Oreochromis niloticus: one gene and its partner. The protein of the gene in region 1 purifies or fractionates together with the protein of each later gene. This does not show direct contact. Links are inferred from orthologs where the notes say so. Each region holds a gene or a part of one and is shown in the gene's direction. Other genes may lie near its edges. The genes, in order: use1 and scfd1.

Region 1 (10,358 bases):
GCAATCACTCTGCAACACAAACACTTTGGTGAAAAGAGTAAAAGTGTGCATTCACTTTGATCTCTTTTAATACTCTCTGTTGCTGTAAGAATTCATATGCAGGTGCATGAAAACCTCACCATCACCCTGCCTTTCTCTCGACCTCACTAACACCTTTTGGTTCAGTTTCAGGTTTGGGTTAAAGTCATATACATGTGTGCTTTCCATTTCTCCTTTAGTGTTTGTTATAGTCTAGTGTGGTGTTTTCAGTTTGGGTGAAGGTGTGATCCTCTGTCTTGTGCAGATGCATGAGAAGGTCAGCACTGATCTGAGCGTGGTCCCCGAGAACGAGCCTCTGGATTCGGACACGGAGGCCGAGAAGAACCTGATGGAACGTATCAAGTCCATCAAGCAGGAGAAGTAAGATCGCTCTCTTAGCACTTTTCAGTTCCTCATTTCTGCTGTCTTCATTGTCCAGTTCCTAATGCATGTGATTTCCTCTTCATCTCACCTTCAGAGAGGATCTCGCCTATCGCCTGCCAGAGATGGAGCAGCCTGGTTCAGACCAGGAGAATTTGGACTCCGAAGCCTCGCTGAGCTCTGAGAGCCTCTTGGACGAGCAGCAGCGCTCCTCTGCTCACAGCTCAGAGCCTGAAGGTCAGTAGTAAGGTACAGTCTGGACTTCCTACCTGTTTCTGTCACCTGCGGGTTTCTGACCAGACCACGGGGCCTGCTGGGCGGGGCCCTTCCTGTCTTTTGTGGCACAGGTCTGGACCAGTGATGGTGAAGGTGGGCGGTGACGTCTGCTCTGTCGGAGGTCGGAGGAACGGCAACCGTGTTTTTGTGTGTTTGTGTGCATGTAAATGCATGTGTGGCACGGCTGCATGCTCAAATTTCACCCAAAGTTGATTTGCTGAACATTTGCCGTCCACATCAGATCAGATGCTTGTAATTGTAACTCACTGGGTGTATTTTTTGATTTTTTTCTTGCAAATCATGGTTGCATGATCTTCCATTTGCCTTTTCCCCTTTCACACTGCTGTGAGCCTCTTGGTTAAATATTCCTCATTCTTCCTCTATCCTCTTCTCTTCCAGGACGAGGTGCTCATCAGCTGAGGAGATCCAGACCGCTTTGTCTTCCCAAACCTTCAGATCTGACCCAGAGGCCGAAAGTCCCCGGCGGACGCATCTCTGTGTCAACCCTCACCCCTGCTAGCTCCACCTCTTCTTTGGCCAGCTGCACTTCTTCAACTTCTGAAACCTCCAACGCCTCCTTCAGGCATCCGCTTCAGCGTCGCAACCCCATCATCCCAAACACAGTTAAACTCCCGCAGGGAGTCTGCTCCCAGGCGGCAACCTCGAGTCCGCCTCACTCTCACGCTCCTCCTGGAAGCCGAGCGCCCGCCTTCTCGGTCAAGAGACGAGAGCAGCCCGGCCGCCGTAAAGACAGCACCCAGTCCCTTTACCTCGACGGCTCAGAGTGCGACTTGGTGCTGCGTTTTTCTTCCTGTCCTCCTTCAGCCGCCTCTTCCTCTTCTTCCATCTCCACGGCTGCGCCCACTCCTCAGCTCCAGCACAGCGGCACGAAAGTCCCAAATGTCCACAGACGGTTTTCTGACCCAGACATCCCGTATGTGGATGATGAAGTCTGAGCAGGGAGGAGCACAAACGACTGGAACGGCGAAGAGGATTAAGGGCGGCGACCCGCAAGCAGACAAACGAAACGAATTCAAACGCTCTCAGATTCGACGCAGGCGGCAGCAGAGCGCTCGGAGAGGCTGGAACTTGATGTGTGTATGAAAGGAAAGGAGAGACGCGACGACACGCGCAGCTGCTGCGGCTCCACATGCATGAACCCAGCTCACACAAACTGCAGCTGCTGCTGTCTGAGGGAACTCGATCAGCCAATGCAAACGTGTCGTTAGTAAAAAGGACTGGACCACATGTTGCCAAGCACCTTTTCAATCTTTTTAATATATTGTCCTCACTGTTGATTGCTTCAGTTGGACCAGAGGCAGTTTCCTCCCGTAGCCTCATAATGATTTTTTTTTTTTTAAATTTGTGCTAATTCAAGAAAATATTGCAGGTTTCAGTCGCACTTTTCATTTCTTAGTTCTCCCAGTGAGTGAAACTCGCTCGCTGAAACATTAGCTAGTGCCTTGATGTTGTACATTGACTTGATAAAGAAGCTCATTCTCATGTCACGATGATGGAACGGTGCTCGTAGAGGGAGGGATGTGTTTGTTGTGGAAAACAAGGACCTAAACCTGCACATTGTGACTGTTGCACACACACAAAAACAAACAGCTTTTTCTGTTCACCTTCATGTTTTACCCGCCGCACAACACACACCAGATAGGAAATCATTGCATTCATGCAGCAAAGGGAACGGGAGCAGCACACGCCACTTTCTCCACAGAAACGACAAAAAACCCACACAAACCCAGCCGTGATCCAAGAGCGGTGGCACCACGTGTCCTTGAACTTCCCCTCCTCTAAAATCACTCAGTCCCATTATTAGAAAAGTGCTGAAGCACAGCTCCGGCCAACTTTGTATGAAATGTAATACTAATGTTCCTCTCTGACTGCTGACGATGATGATGATGATGTATGATGATGTTGGTTTGTCTGGATTATGAGGAAGATGTTCTGATGTGTAACAGAGTGCATGGTGACTTTGACTGAATGAGCTGTAATGTTTATTAGTAGTAACATGAAAATACAGTACATGATGCTTGTAACGTCCGCTGCTGTGTGTTTCCATCACGCACAATTAGAACGTTTTTCTTTTACCCTGGAAACAGACGATGGTGATAAACAAGGGTTATTAAAATAAAACTGTAGGACGTTTATAAACTCTCCAGGAGTTAGTCTGCTCCAAATTAGGTTCATAGGTTGACTTGGACCTTCAGCACAGACAAAATGTAGTAACATGAAACTAGAAATACTGCACCTAAATTCAAAATTCATTCACCATAGACTCCCTTCATTGCATTAGATTAGGTACATGTTGCTAGTACTGGGTACAGACCACCTGGTGTGGTCTCCTGCTGGTGTAGCTCATCTGCTTCAGGGTTTAACATGTTCAGAGATGATCTTCTGCACTCCTATAAGCTCCAAGCTGTCAGGCCAGCCTCTGAACTTTAGCATCAAACTGCCCCTCGCTGGATATTTGCTCTTATTTGGATCTTTATCTGTAAGCCCCAGAGATGGTTGTGTGGGACAATCCCAGCAGATCAGCAGTCTTTGAAATCCTCACACCAACAACCACTTAAATCCCCTTTCTTGCTCATTTTGATGCTCATTTTGAACTTCAGCGGGTCATCTTGATTATATATTTAAATACACTGACTTGCTGCTGTGTGATTGGCTGATTAGATATTTGCATTAACCACTAGGTGAACAGGTGTACCTAATAAAGTGGCCGGAGTGTGTATGTTTAACATTTTGCTTTAAGATGGCTAAAACTCCCAGAGGTGGGTATAATTTTAGTCTTTCAGAGTCGTCCCTGCATTAAACAGTCATTAAAACTCGGGTCAGGTCTTCTTAAATGAGCCGCTTCTTTGTCGCAGTAAACTGCAGCCGTCTGCACAGACCTCACTGTTTTTGATTTTGTGGGTGTTTTGTGTGGAGTGGAATTGATGCACCTTTAGCACACAAAGGCTCCACAGTTCAGGATCAGCTGCCACAATGCAAGATCTGTTTTTCAAGTGATGTCATACGAGTTATTTCTTCAGACTTCATAAAGCTGCACCAGAGCCGCACACAGGAAATTACACCAACATGAGTTTTAACAGTGTCACGCAATGCGCCCCTTGAAGTGGTTACATTTATTTTTACCATTTTTACGCCCTGAACTGCGGTCAGCATTTTCCTTCCTGGTCGTGGGTGATTTATCAGCCTTGCACACCATCCACTGTTAAGCAAATTAAAGTTGATGTAGTTTCACTTACCTCCATGCAGGTTGGTATACGTGAGTATTGATAGATGATTGTTTTCCTCTCTGCACCACCCTCACAGCTGGGCATGTTCAGGTTGAAGGGCGCTGCAGTGGTAGTTATGTGAGGTCTTTATAATTATTTGTTAATCTAGTTCAAAGTGTTTATCCCACCTAACAGGTGCAAACAAAGTCCTGAAGCGATCAAGGCCTGAACAGACTGGGACTATTTTTTTGACATGAAGACTAAAATTGCTGCTCTGAGGATTTGAACGGGCTGTGTCATGTGACCTGCCGGACTGCAGACAGACCACCTTCTTGAACTTTATCCACAGGAATCCACAGATGCCTCATATCTGGAAAACGCCTTTAGCAGCTCCAACTTCAGCCCACTGGTGGTGCAGAAGTGTCTGAGCCACAGATAAGAACCTTGGTGAGAAGATTCAGACAACTGTCTCCAATCTGTGCTCCACACTGCAAAAATAGCTATGATTCTAGAAGCTGTAGATGATAGGCATAAGAAAAGGTCTAAACACTGAGTGCCCTGACTCATCTTTGCTGCGCCACTAAATAAAGTGATGCAGACAGTGTACTGAATGGCCTATTATACTTTACGCACTGTAGTATAGTGATAAGCACAACATGACTTTATATCAAGTGCTAATCTTTCATTCCATCTGTTTACATGTAAGGCAGTTTGAGTGTCATAGATACCGTACAGCAAAATATAACCCATGTTTTATAAAACAAAACATAATCAGTCAATATAGGCATACATGGATACTTGATAAACTATCAGGCCACCACCCAGTGCAATGTTTATTCCACAATTACCCTAAATTAACAGTACTGAAAATATCAAACTCATTTTCTATGTTTCTGTAACGGCTGAGCCACCAGTGTGTCCAAGCCTGACACTCAAAAATGATATTTTTCATTTTATTAATGTTATCTTTTACAAAAAAGCTGAAAAACAGCAAACCACATCATTATTATCATCATTATTATTATTATTATTATTATTATTATTATTATTATTGTTTAATGGCATTGCTGAAAAGAAAAAATCGTTGTTTTTTTTTGTTGAACGTTGTGCTTGACTCTCAGAGAAGTCCAGTATGGCGCCTCAAATTGGGGTATAAAAAAGTGAATTTAGTTTTTTATTTGCCCAATAAATAAAATTTTAAAAACAATATAACTTTTAGTTTTACCCAAATACATAAAATGGTTATGTTTGAGTGTTTTTATGGCAGTATTTTTTTAAGAACTGTATATAAACACATACAAAACATACATAAATAAAAAAAGTACTACATACAGACATGTTGTGGTTTTCGTGCCAGAATGGTGTGTTTTATATTTATTTTATTTTATTTCTCTCGAATAGAGAGAAAGAGATTAAGATAAAACTTTGGGGTCTAACGAGATCTTATTGATAACAACAACAACAATAATAATAATAACAATAATAATAATAATAATAATAATAATGAGTCTAGCTTTTTAAATTGAAATTTTCAATGACGACGTAAAAAAAAAGAGGCGGGCGACGCTCCGCCCATAACGTCTGCGCCGCTCTGCTTGACGTCAAACTGCTGCGCCGCTGTGCGGCTTCAAACCAAACATGGCTTCCCGACTAGAAATCAATTTCATCAGGTTATTGTCTCGCTGTGAGTCTTTGGCGTCGGAGAAACGGGGAGAGACGGAGTGGAGGCTTGAAAAGGTAACCCGGCACGGCTCGGAGCGGCTGTAACGACCATGTCGTGATGACGTTAGCCTGACTGTTGTTGTTGTGAGCCGCTGTTAGCCACGTCGTCACCTAAACCTTTCTGTTTGGTGTCGGGAGGCACATTTAAGCTGTTCACCCCTCGCGCACAGGTTCAATCATAGCCGAGATGTCACCGTAGCGACACACGGCGAGTCTGCGCAGTCTGCTACTCCAGATTTGCTGTATTTTAGTGTTTAATCTCGTTTCTGAAGCTTTCCTTTCACCTATGTTCCTCGCAGAAGATCCTCCGTATGTTCATATCTTTAACAGTAACTTTATTTATTTATAGCATTTTTTTAAAAAACGATCGGCTGCGAATCAGCTACAACCCGAGTTTTCCTCCAGCCGTCCAACCTCTGCTGCCTTATAGAAAGTTAAGTCAGGAGCTGCAGTCAGGTCATGTGCACCAGCGGGGTGTGATGCAGCCTCTAAATTACATCGCGATATTTTAGAGAAATATTTGCGATAATACTTATTATGCTATGAAAAATAGTGCGCATCATGTTGGGTGAAGGACATCCATCCACCCATCCTTTCTTCTTTTCCAGTGAGCTGCTGACCTTAAAGTGTGGCTTTTATTAAGCAGCAGTGTTGTAGTGCAGCAGCAGTGACACAGCAAAAGTCAAATGTAAGCACACAAGTACTCCAGGTAGTCCCAGAAAGTTGTTTCTGTTCATCTGGGCATTTTGTTTTCAGTGGGAGAAACAATTCATCACTCACCTGTGACTTCTTCCTCATTCTCACCTCGCTGCAGTTTTCCCCAGCCCTTTAAACATTTGCATATCATCCAAAACCAGCACCAGCCAAGTTTCATGATCTTTAATATACTATTGTCATAATCATTGATGGTGGGCGCGAGAACCATTCAGAGGTCACAGGGGAATGGTAGGTGAAAGGTGAAAGACGTACTCTTAGGCCCCCTCCTCGGTTCAGAGATGGTCTTTCCTTTTTCACATAAATGGCCTCCTTTACTCCTTACTCCTTTGAAAGCCGCAGAGTTGCAGTGAAATACTCTGGGTCGAGTTTTCTGTGGAAATTTAGTTTTTGTTAAACTAAAGTAACTTAAACTTGTAATTCTTAAGGAGGGCACATCCTGGCCAGGTGAGGTGTGTCACAGGGCTTACATGGAGAGACAGGTAACCACTCACACCCACACTGTTGATCTGTGGAACCAGCACACCCTAGACAGGGAGTCTGGATCGACTCCCTGTATAACTAATCTGATCTCTGAGTCTTAACCAGTAGGCAGTAGAGATCGTAGAGCCGATGGGTGAGGGGACTGGCCCGATTTAGAATCACCAGTTAACCACAGATGCATGTCTTTGTGCTGTGTAAACTCCACACAGAAAGGCCCCACACTGGATTCGAACCCAAGACACCGGCTCCTAGCATCTCCTCCTTCGTAGTGTTTGTGCCTCTAGTGGTGAAACATGTTTGTTGTTGCCACCTTCATCAGGAACAGCTCTCGTTCATATTTTGCAGAGCAGTGAAGTTGTTGAGTAGCTCCCTTATTAAGTCCTCACACTGCTCTCGTACTCAGATATGCTTGGGCGGGGCCTCAAATCAAAACAAGTAGTTGAACATTTTACCTCGATTAACATTAACAAAGGAGTTTCCTTTATTTACTTGTTCTTGCCCCCATAGTTTGCTGACAGGGTTTGACCTGTAAATGTGCTCAGCGGTTAAAGCTGCGATATTGTGATCGCGCTCCAGCTGTTGAAACAGATTGGTGGTCTTACCTTTGGACACTGAAACTGTGTTGAGGTCTTTTTACATCATGCTTCATGTCATGGAGGCACGTAACTGCGTGAACTCTCATTGGGTGAAATGTTAACAGAATTTAAATTTAAAACAAAAAAAATGACATGGACCAGATCACATCAGTTGGGGGTTCTGAACATCGGTTTTGATTTATTTTCAATTAATTACGCGGCTTGTGTTGTTTTGCTGGGAAACATAAATGCATAGAGTTGCTATATGAGACTTTTATAACGTAAAGATTTGTACTGCTGTTTTCATGGACGATGTGATTGTGGTTGTTCGGTGAAGGGAAATTACTGCTAACTTTTGTTACTAAAACTTTGACCACTAGGGGGCAGCACTACTAACAGGTTTCTTTTTAGTAACCGCTCCTCATGAGATCTCCTCTTTTGCCAGGCTGTCGTTTAAAATACAGACGTGCCTGTTTTTAAATAAAGGTTACAGTGACACACTGCACCCTCTTGTGGTGCAAAGTGGTATTACAACAAAGTGCAGCTTTTATCTTTGACACAGCACACATGTGTTTGGGTTAAATTCAGAGCAGTTGCCTGTTTAAATTCCACTGAAAGCTTTAATTTAGTTTATGAGGTTTAAATAGTGTGAATGTGTGTGTGAATGGGTGGATGTCTGGATATGTAAAGCGCTTTGGGGTCCTTAGGGACTAGAAAGCGCTATATAAATACAGGCCATTTACCATTTACCATTTTAAACCCAAGAATTAACAATAAGCAGCTTTAAAGGAACAGTAGCTGATTTAAATGTGTGACCTGCAGCTTTAACGCAAACGAGTAACAACAGGCGTCACCAGGCCACTTGGGACTGAATAAATCCAAACGCCTCTTCTCGGTGACCTCGTGTCACGGTGTACCGAGTGGCTCCCTACAGCTGAGCAGTGAAGACCCTTTAATCTGAACCAGCAGGATAAACCAATCAGCTGCTTGATTTTTACTTTTAGAGTAGATGAAAGGTTCGAGTAACTAAAGTAACAACAGTCAGTACGACCCTGACAGCTGTCAAACACTTTCTTCTTGCACTGCTTCCTCCTTATTACATTTATCATTAGACCACATTTACACGTGGCCTGATGTGGTGAGAGGTCTGTCGGAGGCTGACTTCTTTCTCTCAGTGAACCGACTCGCTGTTACAGCAGACGTGCTGTGAAGTTAAGTAAACTGACTTAAGTTTTATATCACCAAATCAACACTTTGACTCATCCGTGCCAGCATGGCTATAAACTGCAGCTTGACTGGTTGGTGGAGATCAGCGGCCACTGGGCGTTGGTTGGAGTTTGAAATACGGTGCATTTACATATTTAGTGCTTGCCGTGACTTATTTTCTAACACAGCTGCAAACTGAAGATGTGTTCCAGCCTGGTGTTAGTGTAACCTCAAAGATGCTTTGCTGCAAACAGGAACTATTAAAGATATATTTAAGGATCCTCCACTTGATGCTGTTTACTGGCACCGAGTCATTTGCTTTTCTCAGGAACCGTCTCTGCAGGGTCACAGCTGTTTTGCATCTTAGCCTTTCCGCATTATCACTGTGTGTGTGTCGGTGAAGACTACACTGTTCACCTGCAGCAGCTTCTGTGTCCTGTTTGGGTTTGTGACCCACCCTCTGTAAGAGACTCAGCCTACTTTTACAAGAAACCTCGTCAGTTAGACTCTGTTATTTGGCCCAGTGTAGTCCATGATATATGGATATTTATTTTTTTAAATGTATTAATATTTGTTACTTTGAAATAAAGATTTGATTGATGAGATAAATGAGAGCATGTGAGCAGCATCACTGTTTCTGTTTGGTCTCCTCCAGTATGTGGGCGCCCTGGAAGAGATGCTGGTGGCTCTGAGGAAAAGCCTGAGGTAACACCACCCTCCACTTTTATGTCTCCATGTTTTCTTTTTTTGCCTGAAAAGGTACATATATTATTAAGAACCTATTTTAAATATGTTTGGTTGTAACAGGTCACATCAGGCTTACGTGTTATGAGCACAGAGGTTTGATCTGCTGGTTTCAGCTTAATAACACAAAGTTTTGTCAGTAAGCGGTTGTGTGTTCTTCCAGCAAACCAACACCAGAGGTCCTGGCTGAATACACCAGAAAAGTCAATTTTCTGAAAGGAACTCTAGAAGCAGAGAAGCTGGTCAGTTTTTTCTGCTTTTAGCACGACACACCTGTGTTTTCTTGTGTCTTTGAGTTTTCTGACTTCCTGTCCCTCCCGCTCTGCTTCAGTCTTCACCAACAGAAAAAGCTTTAGCTAATCAGTTCCTCGCCCCCGGCCGGACGGCCACGATGGCCAACGAGAGGATGTCTGTCACTAAAAAAGTCCACACGCAGACGAAGGCGCGGTGCACGGGAGAGATGAGGGACGAGCTGCTCGGCACGGTAGGACGCTCTCACAGTACTGCAGACGTGACCTGTTGTGTGAACTGCAGTGCGCCTCCTAAACTACAGCAGTGTGGTAGAAAAGTTTAAATAAAAAGTTTCCCACATTTTGTCTTAAACTCATAAATGTTTTTTTTTCTGTCGCCACAGGGGTCGTCGGGAAAAGGTACGAAATACTCGTCCTCTTGGATTTAATAACATTTAGATGGAAATATGACGAATTATATTTCGATAGGACTGTATTTGTTTGTTTTTAAGAAAAAGGTGATTTTATTTTTCTTCTCTCTCCTCACGTCAGACGGAGACTTGAGGAACCGAAGGTAAAGTCGAGCTTTTCTAAATGATCTCATGTGTTAGACTTGTTTTTGGGACTTGGTGTAAAAGCTTCAACCTGTGTCACCTCTGCGCAGATGTTTTCCTCTGGACGAGCGTCAGTCTGCCGCAGAGCTGGACGCCGTCCTGCAGCATCACCACAACCTGCAGGAGAAGCTGGCTGAAGACATGCTGAACCTGGCCAGAAATCTGAAG
Region 2 (10,129 bases), on another chromosome or scaffold:
GTGATCATCTCACAGCTCAGACAATGGGTCAGCTCTTCACCATCAACTTCTCTGAGCAGGAGGAAAAATTGAACCGAGAGACGCCCGTTGTCACCTTCTGGAGGCACTTCCTGCTTGAGTGTGAAGGTGGAATGTTAATCCTGTTTTTATTATTATAAATAAAAAATTTTGCATTGGGATGGATAAAAGTGGTCATGGGTTCATCTTTCTGTGTTGATACGTTTTCCCAAAGTGTGCCACAGAAATGATGATGATGATAATATTTATGCTCTAAAATGTTTATACTCACTCTCTTCTTTCCTCAGTTGGAAGGAGCTCCATCTCCCTTCAGGACCTCCTTCACTTTGCCACAGGAAGTGCCAAGCTACCAGCTGTCAGTGCCCTCTCTTCTCCCTCCATCTCCTTCCTCCATCCTCTCGCGCCCTCCCTATTAGGATTCAAAGAAGGGAGAGGTGTGGACTGGAGGGATGAGGGACTCTTCCCACAGAGTGAGCCTGTGTCAAAACACCTCCTCCTACCCGTCACTTCCTCCTACCAGGCTTTTAAAAGCTCCATGGAGCAGGCCATCAGCCACCATGTGCACCTTCTCCCCACAGATGGTTAAAGAAGGAGGTGGGGGTTGGCTCTGGACTGGTTTGGGATCTGTGTTTGAAGATAAACTCTGATTGTTTTTTGTTTTTTTCTAATGGGGTTCTTTGTGATTGATGGAGAGAAATTTGGGTAATGTACGCATTTAAAACATAATGATCAAGGTTTTTTGATGTTTTGTTAAAGAAATCACTATTTGCTTGAACAAGAAAAACTTTCAGTATCGTAGCTGGTTGAGTGGTATTGGTTACAGATACCATGACATGGTATTAATGTGTAACCCTTAGTGTTTTCTATATCATTTATACTGTGTTAGCTGGTGTTGTATACCTAGAGGACCGACAGTGTTACGTAATACTCTTGTTTATTCTAATATATGTATAATATTCTTTAGTAGAATGCTAGCACAGCATGCCTTCACAAGCTCGGAAGAGTGCAAACTCACAAGCACTAGGCGATTCCTGTCAATAGGCTTCTCAAAGTTGGCTGATAAAGAAGAAAGAATGTTCTGTATGTTCTTTTGAATACGTAAATCTAGATGCAAATATCCATCCCTTTATCTATTTACTTAGCTGCTTATCCATGCACGGGATATGAATTGAAACCACAAACCTTTTCCTTCTTATGGCGCTCTGCACCAAGCTCAAAGGTTCCTGCTGAGGATGCAAGCCGTTAAACACCTCACAAATAGTTTGATCTTGACGGCAGCATCCGTGGATCAGTCCTGACTTGAAGCTGTCAGCGACAGGTGTTTGGGTACATTGAAATTTTGTCCTTTGGAAAAATCTAGACTTCAATATTAAAACACTTCTTGAAGGCTGTAGTTACCTGAAGTGAAGCTACTATCTTATCTCTGTTATTACAACCTTGCAAACACATTCTGAGTCATGAGAGTGGTGCATTATTGTTGTTGTTTTGTTTTTTTAATCTACATTTCTTTTACATTAACACATTTGACCAAATAGGCTTCAGTTCATTTTTAATGTTTTTCTCTCCATAGAGCTTGTCTCTCTTTTGAGTGTATCGCAGTATGTGTTGATATCTTAAATACATTTATACTTATGGTGATTGAGGATTTTGTACATATTGTTTGTTGATGCCTAATAATTAATCCTGCCTCATGTTTTGTTTTTCTGGATGTGGGAGGTGTGGGGAGATTTTGGGGGAAGGGGGTTGCATTTTAGAGACGGAAAACATTGATGGCCAAAACGTAGTCCGACATCTTGGGATTGTCCTTGGAATCCATTTAGCATTAAAAGGTCTTCAACCGTCATTGCTTTATATTATGTAATCTCAACATCTTTTGTGGTACGGTGCTGATTTTATAACCTTGACTTTTAGTTCAGTCATACTTTACATATTTTTCAAAACCTCTTTTAATGACCTGTCCTTGCTTTCCTTGTACTTTGTTCATTTTCTCAGATATAAAGATTAAAAAAAAACCTCTGTAATCATTATATTACATTATCACGCTATGTGTTGACATTAAATGTTGTTTAGGAAATGAAATGAAATTTACTGATTTAATATTCTCAGTGATAAGCAGATTTTTTTTAATCTGTGTTTTGTTCAGCTATTAAACCAGCAATGTAAACAGAGTTGGCGGCAGATTAGGATCAAGCATAACATTTAACATATCATTTCTGTATGAGAAACTGAATACATTTGTCAGTGTGGCATATTTTGCACTGCTGTAACTTTACAACAGGACTTGTAGAAGTAAGTAGAAATGTACAAAATTTTACACTCATTAAATTGAAACTACATTGTCATTTCATTTTCATTCATAATTTTGGCCTATAGCTTAAAAAAAAAAGCTCATTATTATTTAAATAAGATGCCCAGAAAGCTGCAGAAGAAGAAACGTTAGCCAAAGTGCTGGAGCTCAGCCAAATAAGGAGAACTGTGGCTTTCCTGCAACTTCTGACCTTAGTGTCCTGTTTATCACACATAATAAAAAGCATTTACTGTCTGGTTGTGGTGCTCTTTGTGACATGGCAGCATTTTTTTTTTTTCACTTGAACTTCAACTGCTCAATACGTTTAAGAAAATGAACTATATTTGGCTTTCTCTCAAAACAAACCCAACAACAGCAATGCATTTTGTGATGAAATAAATTGGGCTGTCCTTATATTAAATTCGGTTTTGCACTGCTGTGGAGGGTGAAGCAGCGCACAGATTAAGACTTGCTTGTTTATCAAGGCAGTTCATAAATATGTAAGGTATAGTTTAGATGTGCAAAATGTGGTAATTTACTTTCATTTGGTTTAAATGTTTGTCATGCTGAGGGCAAACTGCAGTTTCTGTTTGTAGAGTTCAAAAAACTGCCGTTGATCCATTCTGATCATATCATATTGCTTTAAATACACAGTGTCTGTAAATTCAAACTGAGTCCTTATGCTGCTAATGTGAATTACTGTTCGTTCTAGAAATTTCAGGTACTTTTTAATTGCTTTCATATGCAATCATGCAGGGTGTTTATTTTGATTGAAGTGCTGATTGCTGCCCACAGCATCGTGCTTTGGAATATGGTTTTAAGGCTTTAAAAGCATTACAAGGTGAAAAGAAATGGCACTTGTGTATCATTCTTACATCTAACTACTTGTATGACCAGGTCCATCTTAAGTAAACCAGGCACGAGTGAACAAAGGTGACTAAATCTGCAGTCTCCATGAAACTTTTCAACTCATATACTCTTTCACCAGTCTGCAAATAAATACTGTGATGGCGGTGAGACCCACACCAAGTCCTGAGTTTGACATGTAAGGAATCTTGACCAGGAGGCAATGTGGCAGATAACCCTGGGAATCTTCACCATTATGAAGGAAGGGGAAGAACCTACAGATGACCTTAAAGATGTTGGAATAATCATTGAAGGTGTTAAAGTGCTAGTAACATTGCAAATGCATTCGCCATTTTGTTTGGCCTCATTTACTCACTGGTCTTGAGGTACCTGACAAAGCTTAAGTACACATTTGAGATTTTACAAAAAATTGTGATGGAACTGGATGGAAACTGTCTCTCAACAAAAGCCCTAGTTGTTTGAACTGTTTGAATGGAGACTTCAGACAAGAAATTGCAAGCAAACAGGGGAGCACTGAAAGACTGTTTAGTGTACCCTTGAAACCCTTGGACAAGGGTTTTTGTCCCTGACAATCAACAGAACTGGAATGTTTTGGATCCACACATTGAACTACTAATGGTCTTCGGAAATGATGTCTGAATATATTTTAGCAGACTTTTAAATTGTTCAAAGGGGGAAAAATAAAAATGGAGACAAAGATTGGCATGAAAGAATGGGCAATAAGAGATGGACTGTGGTCCAGTCCAGTTATGTGGAGTCTCAGCAAAGATGAATACTGTCAGAAATGCCAGTTTTATTGTTTCACTGTATTTTTTTTTTTAAATTTATGTATTTAATATAACTGAAAATGAATAAGAAACCTGTAACAGATGATAAAACACATTAACACACAGATACATAATAACACAAACAATCATACTGGCAGTGATTACTAAATTAAAATCCATCAAGAATGCGGTATTTATTTAAGGTTATGTTTCTTTACAGTCTCAGTTGACATGTGCTTTTCAAACATTATCTTTAAACTATTTAATATAGCGGTTATTCCATTTACTCACCTTTTATCTTTAATAGTTTTTGAGATGTTGGTGAAAAATGTGTTCATGACAGTGCAGATTTGAGGCATTTTGTGTAAATTTAAGCATGTAACAATTTGGTTATTTTTAATACAAAAAAGAATGTGAAATTAAGTTAGACTTGTGTTTGTAAATGAACCACCTTGTGTTGTGTAGCTTTCTAGATTTTATACTTATTGGACTACATACTTATTTATTATATAGGCTATACAGTACATAAAATCCAAATTTGCATGTTTTATGAAACTGAAATGTTTAATTATGTGGGCTAAAGAAAATAAAAACGTTATAGAGTATATTTATATGAAACGTGTATACTTACTGCATTTGATGTATTTTAACAATATATAATTGTTAAAATACATAATATAATTACAGAAATATATAATATAATTACAGAATGTAACACCTGCATGTGTGTAAAAAGCTTTGATTTTGCCACCACATTCGATTTCCATGCCACCCTCATACCAGCCTAAGAAAATTTCTCTAGATCTGCCCCTGTCATGCAGAAGAATGTTTGATATTGCAACTAAAGATGCTTAAGGCTTAAATGCTTAAATGATTGATTTAAACAGGCAAGACGTTTTGTGACAGAATGCTATTTAAGATAAAATGAAAGAGATGGCTTTCACTTTGGTATGTTTTAATTGATGTTTGTTTTTACATTTGGCTAAGTAAACAATACTTTGCTTGTCCTGACTAAACGCCACTGTCTATCACACATAATAATAATAATAATACTAATTTTAATAATAATAATAACAACAACAATAATAATAATAATAATAATAATAATAATAATAATAAAAGTAAAAATTCATTATTGGTCTACTGGAAAGCGGAAATTTACTTTGATGATCTGCATTCTTTCTTGTATTCTCTGTTAAACAGCACCAGAGCGAGACCTCTTCACTTTACACTCTTCTCTGACGTGTAAGCTGACGTCGAGCTGATGCCACGTCATCAGTCACTCCGTAACTAACAACATCAAATATGGCGGCGTCTGTCCGGGAGAAGCAGACAGGTTTGTTAAAATGTTTTCTTTCTTTCGTTAACATTATATCAGGCGAAAGACAGCAGCGGTGACGGGCTGTGGAGAGGTCCACCAACCCGAAATCTGACTGAGATACCATTCCCCCTCTTAAATAGCTGACAAACTAAACTACGTGCTAAACTAACAGCCGGCTGAGCTACTTCATTAATGTTCCTGTTTCACTATTGATAGCGGAACTCGTTCATTTTTTCCTTTATTTACAGACACGTTAACTTGTCAACCACACTGTTAAATTATTTACCCAAAGTTAACCCGTCGTCCTGTCAGCTATCAGTGCTGCTAGCTCTACTACGGTACTAATAGCTACGGATAGCTAGCCTCTTGCTAACTCTGAAGAAAGTCATAAGCTATTTCTAGTTTCATATACACAGGATGAATCCTCTCTTCATTATGTGAATATACTCGTATGGTTTCAGTAAGCTTTGTTGTTTGGATCAGTTTATTGTTGTATTGCTGTTTAATATTATTTATTAATATTAAATATTGGGTGGACAGTAGAATGTGGATGTCTTATTCTTGCATATCCATTTTATTCTAGTACATTTATTGAATATTTTTGTGGGCAGTCTGGTCAGTGAATAAACAGATTTATCAATGTGTGATCTAGAGCTGCAGTGATTAGTGGAATTATCAAATCGTCAGCTGGCAACAAATAAAGCTAGCTGTTCACTGCAGACCCAGGGGACTGCATCAGTAGTCTAGTTTCAAGTTAATAAACATTTTGTCTATGAAATGCTCAGAGAAATGTTTTCACACACCAAAATCACATCTACAGAATTTCGTCCTTAGTCAAAAGGGCAACAGTTAGTCAATTATTATTATCATAGCAGATAGTCATTATTGATATTTTTAAGAAACAAATGTGATGTATAAAGCCTAAAATGCAAAGATTTTAGGCTGTTTTTTGTAATATGGCATGTCATTTCCCCAGGCTCGTTTCACCATAGAAAAAAGCATGTTAAACCCTTGACATATTTCAGAACAGTATTTGTTGAGATGTCTTAAACAACCATTTGATTATAGAAACACCTGCTTCTCAGTTAAGCTAGTATTAATGGAGCAGTATTTATTAGCCATGTGGATACTGATCTGTTTGTGTGTCCCCTAACATAAAAGTTTCTGTGATGCATTTCTGCAGTCGCTTTGAAGCGAATGTTGAACTTCAATGCACCTCCTCTGAAGAACACAGCAGCTGAGCCAGTGTGGAAGGTAAGTCACTATAACAGTGTAGTAACTCAAAAGGTGTCAAGGAAAAAAATCCAGCCTGAACTCATGACTTAAATACTGAGACTCATACTCGCCGTGCATAAAAGCTCAGTGTGTTCAGAAAATGCAGTGTGCTGCATTGTGTGTTAAATCTTATTTAGGATTAACTCAGCCTCTGAAAATCCGCATCCTGTGTTTCTAAGAGGAGGTGAAGGGACAGTTCATACATGCTTACTGTGTAATGAAGAATGTCATGCTTTTCAACGTGAACTCAAAGTTTAATAAATAAATACATAATAATTCTATAGTTCACATAGGCCATGTAGTCAACCTAAGCCACAATGCTGGCAAATCAGCTGATGTCAGTGCCAGCCCACATCCCCAACTCATTCTTTCATGCTGTTAATCAGTGTACGTATGTATCAGTATTTCACCCATAGAACTGCATTCCACTAGCAATCACACCTTTCATATGCCAGACTTTTCACACAGTGAAAGCAGTCACATAAATAAGTGTTGTGTGGTTATCAGTAGGGCTTTGTATTTGTGATTTCTGCCTGGGTCAGAAAAAGTCTTTTGATCTCTGCCTTTTCTGCAGGTGTTAATATATGACCGGTTTGGCCAAGACATCATCTCCCCACTGCTGTCTGTCAAAGAGCTCCGAGACATGGGCATCACTCTGCATCTGTAGGACACACACACACACACACACACACACACAGAGCTGTTTTAAGACAACAGCAAAACAAAGTATCACATAATCAAAAATAACAATCATTATCAGTAATCACCACAAAGACAACTGGTCACATGCTGCTCTCAGAGAAGGCACAGGAGGGTCACCTCATCTGTTTACCTCAGTTTAAATATGCTGTGGTTTTGCCACCAAAACTTTCACACACTTTTTCTGAAATCAGTTGTGCTGTGTTATATATAATCATTATAGAAATTCATAAATAGATAGATTCAAAATATGAATAAATTAATACATAGAATAAAAGTGAAATGGGAGCCTAAATACAGTAAATAAATACAAATTTGAGGACATAGGAAAAAAAAACAGCCTTTACATGATCATGTTGATTGAGTTTTTTTTGTGAATGTGTGATTGATGGTGTGTCTCTGTGATCAGTTTACAGCACTGCAGCTGCAAATGACCATATGATGATGGTCCTGCAGGAGTGTTTTGAGTAGTTATATAGAGCAAAAGTCATGAGACACAACTAATTTCTCCATACTTTAAAGGAGCAAGATTTTCTTGTAATTTTCAAGATTTTCTTGAGCAATACTTCTTCAAGCTTTCTGAGGGTCTTTCAAAGATTATCTATGGACAGTGGCTGCTTTGTCGCTCAGTTTTCATCCAGTCCGTGTACCTTAGCATTAACACTGATCTATGAATCATAGCGTCACAAAAAAGGCACAAAACTCACCATATGTAGACAAACCATTGGTTCGTCTACATATAGCAAAAAACTTAGCAAAGAAACAAATTTCAATTGTAAGCCCCCATCTAGAGCTGGGCGATATAAGATTTTTTCATATCACGATATGTTTTTTTCATTTCAGGCGATAACGATATATATCACGATATAAGCCAAATAACTATATTTGTAAGATTTAAATGTGCCATTGCTCACAAGTAAAATGTGAAATAATCAGCAGCTTGTTTTGATTTAAATATTTATTTCCCATAATAAGTTCAACAGGGTAGATGTACTTAAGGAACATGAGACTTCAGTTTCAGATAAATAAAGGCAAATATTGCAAACTACACAAAAGGCAGCCGCTAAAGCATTTAAGTTTCAAAATAGAACAAACAAAACAGACTACTAAATTGTCAATTCCACTTAGAAACAAAATTTTAATTCTAAAAATAAATCTTAGTTTGTTTTACAGAAGAACAGACAAAATTGACTAACTTTTGTCAATATCAAATAAACTGAGAACTAAAAGGAAATTCTCAATCTCTCCTTGTTGTATAGCTTAGCTTTTCAAACAGTTTTAACAGTTATTTTAGTCTGACAAAAGCCGAATGACGAATTAGCGCTTTCAGTCAGAGACTGAGCATGCACCGGTTTATTGTATTTCCAGACTTGCTTTCAGCACAATTTACAGTGCGCGCTACTCTGTTTTTTGTCAGACTTGAAATAGCCGAAATACCTTCACACTACGGAACGTCTGTGGCCCTTCCGTTCGACAAGCTCTCCGGCATTGGAACCATCATCGGTTTTTTCTTTGGTAACCTTCGGTCACGCTCTCAGTTGATTTTTCTCTAATCGGCGCACTCATTTCCTCCATTACCTGGGCAGCCCGGCTGGCTGCTTCCCAAACAAATACACATGTGCGCCTTGGCACTTGTGCTGTACGTAACAAGTCACGTGACGTGACGCTGCAGCTGTGATTGGTTCGGCTCTGCGCTACTTAATTTTGATTGGCTGTTCTTTTTTTTTTTTTTAAGAGGACAAGAGAGATGAGGCCTATCGCAATAGTTTAATTTTTCTATCGAGAAAAAGTTATTTCGCAATACATATCGTTATCGTTCTATCGCTCAGCTCTACCCCCATCTTAAGATTGGTTTGTTGCAAGTGTACATAATTTGTTCCCGTTTCTTCAGTTGAATCTGTGAAAATGCCAATGATAATTGCTACACCTTTTTCATTTTCCTAGCAAAATATAAAGAAATAAGGGTCGGCTCGAGAGTTCTGCACAACATTGTAGCACTTGATTATGGGGCAGCTGTCTCCCAAGTTTTACTTCTGTTTTATTTTGCAGTTAGTGAGGTCTCAGTGATTTTTGGTTTCTTATTCTTGTTGCATGTTGTTTATTTTAACAAAAAAAGAAAAAAGTGCTATTGTGCGTGTGTGTGTGTGTGTGTTTGTGTGTTCAGGCTGCTTCATTCAGACAGAGATCCTATTCCAGATGTTCCTGCTATTTATTTCGTCATGCCCACAGAGGAGAATATTGACAGGATTTGTCAGGTGATCTCACACAGTAACTCATTAAGCTGGACTCAGTTCTTTGCCTGAATGTGTTTATCTACGCTGGGAATTACAGAAGAGTTCCTCTCAGAAGTAGCAGACACTAAAAGGCACTAAAAGCTCAAATCATTTTTCAGTTATCCCGTTTAATTTTCACCTGTCATTAAAGTTTGGTAAAAACACTGACAATCCCAGCTTTATTCGTTTATTCGTCTGCCTTTCTGGAGCATGACCTTTCCTTTTTATTGAGAACTGATTTATCATTTTTCTGTGTTTGTGTCATCTGTGAGGAAAGCTCACAGCTTTCCTTCTCAAATTTAAGCCCAAGTTTCTGTGTTTTTGTGATTTGATGAGTTCATTAACCTCCTAAGACCTCTTTAACTCTTGAACTCTTTAATGGCATGCATTTTTAATTTCTCTTTGCTATTTGGGTTGATTGGGCAAAATTTAGTATTGCGGTCTAGACATCCCAAAATGTGATGTCCACATATGTGGACGACAGGTCCTAAAAGGCTAAAAATGCAGCAGCAAAATATTGTTATTATCAATTATCATCTTTTAGCAACTGATGATACTCAGCGTCCCACACTGGAATATTTTCTGGATTTTTGTTGTCAGAATGCTCTAAATCAGAATACAG

What was found.
Region 2: the proteins of use1 (region 1) and scfd1 purify together in Homo sapiens (affinity purification with mass spectrometry; 3 studies listed by BioGRID and IntAct, counting the BioPlex papers as one, with this or other methods). This does not show direct contact. The link is inferred for Oreochromis niloticus from reciprocal best matches to the Homo sapiens genes USE1 and SCFD1.

The regions. Positions count from the first base shown.
Region 1 is NC_031986.2:44,591,548-44,601,905, forward strand, and holds the start of use1 (vesicle transport protein USE1), read left to right. Parts: upstream 1-5,482; 5' UTR 5,483-5,540; coding exon 5,541-5,639; intron 5,640-9,257; coding exon 9,258-9,307; intron 9,308-9,509; coding exon 9,510-9,588; intron 9,589-9,677; coding exon 9,678-9,830; intron 9,831-9,980; coding exon 9,981-9,996; intron 9,997-10,128; coding exon 10,129-10,150; intron 10,151-10,240; coding exon 10,241-10,358. Other genes in the region: unconventional myosin-IXb, read left to right, coding at 284-399, 497-636, 1,075-1,631.
Region 2 is NC_031983.2:3,778,881-3,789,009, reverse strand, and holds the start of scfd1 (sec1 family domain-containing protein 1), read left to right. Parts: upstream 1-5,126; 5' UTR 5,127-5,244; coding exon 5,245-5,275; intron 5,276-6,443; coding exon 6,444-6,514; intron 6,515-7,109; coding exon 7,110-7,198; intron 7,199-9,398; coding exon 9,399-9,489; intron 9,490-10,129. Other genes in the region: g2e3 (G2/M phase-specific E3 ubiquitin-protein ligase), read left to right, coding at 1-126, 306-604. UniProt on the Homo sapiens protein: Plays a role in SNARE-pin assembly and Golgi-to-ER retrograde transport via its interaction with COG4. Involved in vesicular transport between the endoplasmic reticulum and the Golgi.